Macaca fascicularis: one gene and its partner. The protein of the gene in region 1 purifies or fractionates together with the protein of each later gene. This does not show direct contact. Links are inferred from orthologs where the notes say so. Each region holds a gene or a part of one and is shown in the gene's direction. Other genes may lie near its edges.

Region 1 (3,921 bases):
GTAGGGGCATGCGTGTAATATCAGCTATCAGAAGGCTGAGGCAGGGGAATCGCTTGAACGCGGGAGGCAAAGGCTGCAGTGAGCCGAGGTCAGCCTGGCAGCTGAATTGAACAAGAATAAAAAAGCACGAGCGGCAGAGGCAGCAAGAGCCGCAGAAGCACTGCACTCCAGCCAGGGCTGGAGCGAGACTCTGACTAAAAAAAAAAAAATTGAGTATAGTCAGCCTGTTGTGCTAACAAGTAGTAGGTCACCTTCATTCTTTGTATTTTTTGTGCCCATTAACCCTCTCCCGACCCTCCACTATGTCACTCCCCTTCCAGCCACTGGTAACCGTCCTTCTACTCTCTGTCTCCATGAGTTGAATTGTTTTAATTTTTAGCTCCCACAAATAAGTGAGAACGTGCAAAGTTTGCCTTTCTGTGCCTCACTTATTTCATGTAACATGATGACCTCTAGTTCCATCCATGCTGTTGCAAGTGATGGGATCTCATTTTCTTTTTATGGCTGAATAGTACTACATTGTTTATATGTACCACAGTTTGTTTATCCATTCATCTGTTGATGGACACTTAGGTTACTTCCAAATCTTGGCTATTATGAATAGTGCTGCAATAAACATGGGAGCACAGGTATCTCTTTAGTATTATTGATTTCCTTTCTTTGGGGTATGTACCTAGGAGTGGGATTGCTGGATTGTAAGATAGCTAGTTCTATTTTTAGCTTTTTGAGGAACCTCCAAACTGTTCTTCATAGTGTTTTTACTAATTTACATTCCCATCAGCAGTATACAAGGGTTCCCTTTTCTCCACATTCTTGCCAGCTAGCTCCTTGGCAGTGTGTTAATGTGTTAACCTGCCTACTTTAGAGTTAAAAAAAAATGCTGAGTTTAAGACCTGAGTTCTAGGCAAAAATAGAATCCAACTCAGATGTTATAAGAGACTTTAATGCAGGGACTGCAGAGGTGCCCTGGGTTAAGGGAACCCATAAGGCATGTTTTTACTAGAAACAGGGAAGCCCAAAGGGGCAGGAAAAATATTGTGCTATTGGAGCCTCGTGAGAGCTGTGAAGAGGGTGCCTCACAGCAACCATGGTGGTGGAGGGATGCAGCTTCTGCCAGAAAATGTGGCCATGAGGAGGGAGGGAGGTAGGAAGAAATAATGCAGCCTTTCTCCGCCTTCTTATCTTCTGTCAGTGGCAGGACAGCCCTGGAACCCAGAAGGCATATCTGTTGGGGTCAGCATCATTGGTCACAGAGTAGAGCAGAAAAGTATTGGGAGATAGAGTAGTTGTAGTAAGATAATAAGCAACACAACTACTAATGAGTTCAGGTGTTGACTTCAGGTAATGTAATATTTTACCCAATTTCTTATATGTTATCTATGCATACTTTACTGGGTTGATGTGGGCATTAAATGAGATAACGTGAATGTATTATCATAGTGTCTTTGTCTTGTTGAGTATATTTTAAAAGTCTTAGTAATGCACGGATTTGAAAAGCTCAGCTTCCTTTCACTTGGTACTGTGTTAAATTTGTTTTGTGGGAACTTTGGTTGCCACTATATTTTTAAATATATGTTTTCCAGTAATTTTTGAGAAGCGAATGGCCTCATTATCAAGTTGTTTCCAAGATTTAGTTTCTCATTGTTTTATAGAGCAAGGAGCCTGAAAACCTAAGTCCTAGTTCAGGCTATAGTACTATTTGTGGCATAGTTCTTTGTGGGAGTTATTTTTACTTTGCCTCTCTGTTCTTTTCCCTTCTGAGAAATTGGAGTAATAATACTTAACTAGTAAATGTTTAATATTATGGTAAAATAATCGTTGTCAAGTACTTTGAAGACTTAAATGATACGTATATTAACTTTTACTCTCGTTCATTTTGAAAGTATCAGAGCCTCAGATTAAGAGTGATTAGATGGTTTTTAGTTTGTAGCATTTTCTGTGTGAAATTATGTAGCTCATAAGATATTATCTTGTATATGTGTGTTTATGTGAGTAAAGTGATTATGCTTGTGTCTATTTTAGTTAATGTGTGTGAATGTAATTTTTTTTTTTTTTTTTTGAGACAGAGTCTTGCTCTGTTGCCCTCCGCCTCCCAGGTTCAAGAAATTCTCCTACCTTAGACTACAGGCGCATGCCACCATGCCCGGCTACTTTTTGCAGAGTTTTTTTTTTGAGGCAGAGTCTTGCTCTGTCGCCCAGGCTGGAGTGCAGTGGCCGGATCTCAGCTTACTGCAAGCTCTGCCTCCCGGGTTTACGCCATTCTCCTGCCTCAGCCTCCTGAGTAGCTGGGACTACAGGCGCCCGCCACCTTGCCCGGCTAGTTTTTTGTATTTTTTAGTAGAGATGGGGTTTCACCATGTTAGCCAGGATGGTCTCGATCTCCTGACCTCGTGATCCACCCATCTTGGCCTCCCAAAGTGCTGGGATTACAGGCTTGAGCCACTGCCCCTGGCCTACTTTTTGCAGTACTAGTAGAGACGGGGTTTGATTCACTATGTTGGCCAGACTTGTCTCGAACTCCTGACCTCGTGATCTGCCCACCTTGGCCTCCCAAAGTGCTGGGATTACAGGCGTGAGCCATCACGCCTGGCTGTACATTTTCTTAAAACTATCTTTCTGAAACGAACTCTAAGAGACTCTATTTATTGCCCAGTAGTAAGTCTTGTCTTTTTCACTCTTGCCGTAGACAGAGCACTGTTTATTTCTGAACTTATGGTTGAGTAAGGTACTTTTGAGATGTGGCAACTGTCTCCTGGTAAAAGATTTGTCAGATTTTACCCTGCTGCTACTACTACCATTGATGTAGCCTTATTGCCTACTTCTTTTTTCTGAGACAGCAGTGATGCCTTGTCACATTTTTCCTCCTCATTTTTACATTTGTAGACCAAAGCAAGATCGGGGCAATCCATTTTGAAGAGAACTATGAGCACCAAATAATATTCTACTTTAAAGAACTTTTTATTTTTCAAAACTCCTTCGAAAATGTAACTTTGAAATTAAGTAAAATTTCTATTTTATTTCATAAACTCGAGTTAGCACTGTCTTTGTAAATTCCAAACTGAACCTTTCTGAATTACTGACTAAATCTTAATTATTTCTCACCAGACGGTCTGGCAAATCCCGAAGCAGAAGCCCATATTCATCTAGGCATTCAAGATCTCGTAGCAGGCACAGATTGTCTAGATCCAGAAGTCGTCATTCTAGTATTTCTCCTAGCACACTAACTCTGAAGAGTAGCCTGGCAGCTGAATTGAACAAGAATAAAAAAGCACGAGCGGCGGAGGCAGCAAGAGCCGCAGAAGCAGCGAAAGCTGCAGAAGCAACTAAGGCTGCTGAGGCTGCTGCCAAAGCTGCAAAAGCTTCAAACACTTCTACACCTACCAAGGGGAACACAGAAACTAGTGCCAGTGCATCACAAACAAACCATGTGAAGGATGTGAAGAAAATTAAAATTGAACATGCACCTTCTCCCTCAAGTGGTGGAACTTTAAAAAATGACAAAGCAAAAACAAAGCCACCTCTTCAGGTAACGAAGGTGGAAAATAATTTGATTGTAGATAAAGCCGCCAAGAAGGCAGTCATAGTTGGAAAGGAGAGTAAATCTGCTGCTACAAAGGAGGAACCAGTATCTCTTAAAGAGAAAACCAAACCACTTACACCAAGCATAGGAGCCAAGGAGAAGGAGCAACATGTAGCTTTAGTGACCTCTACATTACCACCGTTACCTTTGCCTCCCATGCTGCCTGAAGATAAAGAAGCTGATAGGTAAGTGAAAAAAGTATTTGTCAATAACTGCTCAAAGAAAAAATGTAAGTCTGAACTGAGAAATGATTTGACCTCCCCTAACCCCCTCAAAACAACTTTAGTGAAAAAGACTACAAGTAAGAGAATGAATTTTCTTTATTGTATGCATCTTAAAAT
Region 2 (3,831 bases), on another chromosome or scaffold:
CACGAGGAACGGAGGGAAGCACGCTTCCTGGGAGGCCCTAGACCATGGGAAGAGGTGTTCAGGTCAGCAGTGATGTTTAGGGAGGGGTTTGGTGGCAGTGTATGGCACTTGGTCAGGAGCAAGTGTACAGAGGGGATGGGGTGCCGAGGATAGACCCCCACTTGCTGTTCGAGCTCAGTCACACAGCACAAGGGCGGGTGCACTGGTGACTTGAAGATTCAGGCTGCAGGGTCGAGTGTTGGAAGAGTTGGCTTCTGCAAGGTAGAGGAGCAGGCCTGTGGCCCAGGTGGCTGTGGAATGACGCACAGGAGGCATTGAAGGGTGTCAGCGCTTTTCTGCACCTCTTTTTTAGTCAGCTTCTGGAACCACAGGGCATCTGGCCCTGACCTGGAGCCAAAGCCAGTTCTCTAAGGCCAGGCATATATGGCCTTCCTGCCCAGTGGCTGGCGAGGGCTGATCTGCACAGGCAGTCCCCAGTGGCACACCTGTTACCAGCCCGATCGATCCTGCTCATGCTCGCTTTGGCAAGGTCAAACGGGTTGTGTGCCAATGGCCACGTCTCCACAACCAGGATGTCATGCTCTGCCTTCCCTAACCCAAGTGCCTGGGGAACCAGAAGCATCTTCATGGCCTTTGTCCTCTTTATGTTCTCTGGAACCAGAAATGTTGTGCCTATGGTTTGTCTCCTGTGCTGCCTTGGGAAAGGACACTCATTCTGTGTGTTTGGCTACTTGTGGTGGGGTGTTCCGATGCCATTTTCCAGGGGTCTGATGGTGACCAAGAGATCACAGGCCAAAATGTGTTAAATAAGGCTTTGGCGGAAGGGGGCATGAGGGCTCATGGGCTGGGAGGCGCTGCGGGAGGGGCCTGAGGCTGGTTCTGAGCACAAGTATCTTGGGTGTGCTTGACACCTAGTGCTGCCTATCCCTGCTGCACACACACAGCAGCACGCACACACACGAAGCATGCACACACACAGCAGCACGCACACACACGAAGCATGCACACACACGAAGCATGCACACACACAGCAGCACGCACACACACAGCAGCACGCACACACACGAAGCATGCACACACACGCAGCACGTAGCACGCACGCGCAGCACGCCTGCACACACTCCTCTCGAGGCTGCTATCTGAGAGTACGCAGTGGGGTTTGATCTAGCCCCTCTTGAGTAGAATAGAACCTGAATTGCTGCTTCGATGGGTACATTGGGAATGTCAGAGACTTGTACGGAATTATTTTAAATGCCATCACATTCATTTGACCAACTCTGAGGCTTTCTGCAAAATGCCACTGCTGCAGACAGGAGTTCAGTGTGGCCCTGACTCTTGGGGTCATTTTCTGAAGGCAGAAAAACAGGGGAGCCCCCACACATTTTACACTAGGAAGAGGGGGCTGGGGCCAGGGCACAAGGGGGCTTCGTGTGCTGCCGAGACTGCCTGCGGGTGGTGTGGTTAGGGCTGAGGGAGGGAAAACCCCAGCTCATCACAGACAGGGTGGAGGGCCTTTTTGACAAATGGTGGGGAGACATCTGGTGGCATCAGGACATGGGGAACGGGCCCATGTGTTGGGCCACAGAGGAGGGGGCAGCTGCTCCCTGCTCCTCTGTAAAGATGGCCCTGAAGGGCCAGGAGGCACTGAAAAAGCAGCTATTGCTTGCAGAGGCCGGGCACCAACACATCTCTCTCCTGCAGACCGGAAGCCTCCCCTCGCTGCTGCCTTAGGTGAGGCTGAGCCGCCGGGCCCTGTGGATGCCACTGACCTCCCCAAAGTCCAGATTCCTCCTCCGGCTCACCCGGCCCCTGTGCACCAGCCACCGCCGCTGCCACACCGGCCCCCGCCCCCGCCGCCCTCCAGCTACATGACTGGGATGTCCACCACCAGCTCCTACATGTCTGGAGAGGGCTACCAGAGCCTGCAGTCCATGATGAAGACCGAGGGACCCTCCTACGGCGCCCTGCCCCCCGCATACGGCCCACCTGCACACCTGCCCTACCACCCCCATGTCTACCCACCCAATCCGCCCCCACCACCTGTGCCTCCTCCCCCAGCCTCCTTCCCCCCACCTGCCATCCCGCCCCCTACTCCTGGCTACCCTCCACCCCCACCCACCTACAACCCCAACTTCCCACCCCCACCCCCACGCCTGCCCCCTACCCATGCAGTCCCCCCTCATCCTCCTCCAGGCTTGGGCCTGCCTCCAGCCAGCTACCCACCTCCTGCCGTGCCCCCTGGAGGACAGCCCCCTGTGCCCCCGCCCATTCCCCCACCTGGCATGCCTCCAGTTGGGGGGCTGGGGCGGGCAGCCTGGATGAGATAACGTGAGCCTTTTTTTCCCCCTTTGTTTTTTTTAACAAGTTTTTCTAATCGACTTGCAGAGTAGTTGAAGTGGGTAAGCAGCAGGGTACCTTGTATAATGCGCGACAGTTGCAGTATGGGAAGAATGGACCAGGCCCCTGGGATAAAATCAGGGTGGTCCTCACATCTAGAGGACAGGGACAGCCAGCTTTCAGAGTAGCCTCATCAGCGCCCTTGCAGTCTGACTGTGTACACTTGGTTCAGCTAATGTCCGAGAGTCCTGCACTGGGTTACTTTATACTAGTGAAGATGTTAACCAGCCATATTGGCTCAATAAATAGCTTCGGTAAGGAGTTAATTTCCTTCTAGAAATCAGTGCCTACTTTTCCTGGAAACTCAATTTTAAATAGTCAAATTCCATCTGAAGTCAAGCTGTTGTCATTTTCATTCAATGACGTTCTCTCCCATGACACCCAGAAGGGTCAGAAGAACCACATTTTTGATTTATAGATGTTTGCATCCTTTGTATTAAAATGATTTTGAAGGGGTTGCCTCGTTGGATGGCTTTTTTTTTTCCTCCAAGGAGAAGGGGAGAAATGTACTTGGAAAGTAATGTATGTTTACATCTATTTGCAAATTCCTGTACATAGAGATACATTTTTTAAGTGTGAATGTAACGACATACTGTGAATTCCATCTTGGTTACAAATGAGACTCCTTCAGTCAGTTATCCAAATAAAAGCAGTTCTGAAACTATCCCTTTCTCTGTTAATGGGTGGAAGGTAGGGCTCCAGGCCTTCGCAGTCCCCGGGTAACATTGTACAAGCCCCTCCTTCCGGACCCTGGGCACCGGGAGAGGCCTGGCTGCAGTTCACAGGAGCCAGAGCCAACCCCACTGCCTCCCAGGGCACTCTGGGTGGATCGGCACATTTGCCTGCCAAGCCAGCCTGCACCCATCCTGTGCCTGCCTTGGTTTCCTTTGGAGGACCTGGTTGAGTTCCAAACCAGCTTGAAACTTTCAAGCCTTGCTGCATAGAACACAGACGGGAACACAGGCTTGGGTTTGAAACCCTTTCCACTTCTGGCCTGCGATGAGACGGAGGCAGCTGGAGGAGCAGCGGCCTCACCATCCACCTTGAGGGGCCAGGGCTGTGTCTGTGGAAGGGGCCCCGACTGAGCCCCCATCTGAGGTGCTTGAAGGGCCTTGGCCCTGTCTCTGCTTGCTGACCCTGCCACCCATGACGGAAACAAGCACTGAGCACCCAGCCAGGAGGCTCACAAAGAGGCCTTTATTTATCTAGCTCAAAGTAGACACTATCACAATCTTGTTTATTACTCCTTTTACTAAAATAGTTCAAATCAATGTGTTTACCACACTATCAAAAAGTTCTATTCTTGTCTCCCCACGTCAGAGTGGTTGAATAGAAGGTAGAAACAGGCCGGGAGTCCACAGGCTCCCAGCTCTAAACGGCGCCAGGGCAGGAAGGGGTGGCTCCGGGTCTCACTGTGGCACCTTCTACAGAAAA

The links. Proteins that work in one complex are often made in the same cells at the same time.
Region 2: the proteins of CDK13 (region 1) and CCNK purify together in Homo sapiens (affinity purification with mass spectrometry; 4 studies listed by BioGRID and IntAct, counting the BioPlex papers as one, with this or other methods). This does not show direct contact. The link is inferred for Macaca fascicularis from reciprocal best matches to the Homo sapiens genes CDK13 and CCNK.

What each region holds. Positions count from the first base shown.
Region 1 is NC_088377.1:90,409,864-90,413,784, reverse strand, and holds part of CDK13 (cyclin-dependent kinase 13), read left to right. Parts: intron 1-3,105; coding exon 3,106-3,765; intron 3,766-3,921. UniProt on the Homo sapiens protein: Cyclin-dependent kinase which displays CTD kinase activity and is required for RNA splicing.
Region 2 is NC_088381.1:167,585,771-167,589,601, forward strand, and holds the end of CCNK (cyclin-K), read left to right. Parts: intron 1-1,701; coding exon 1,702-2,327; 3' UTR 2,328-3,061; downstream 3,062-3,831. UniProt on the Homo sapiens protein: Regulatory subunit of cyclin-dependent kinases that mediates activation of target kinases.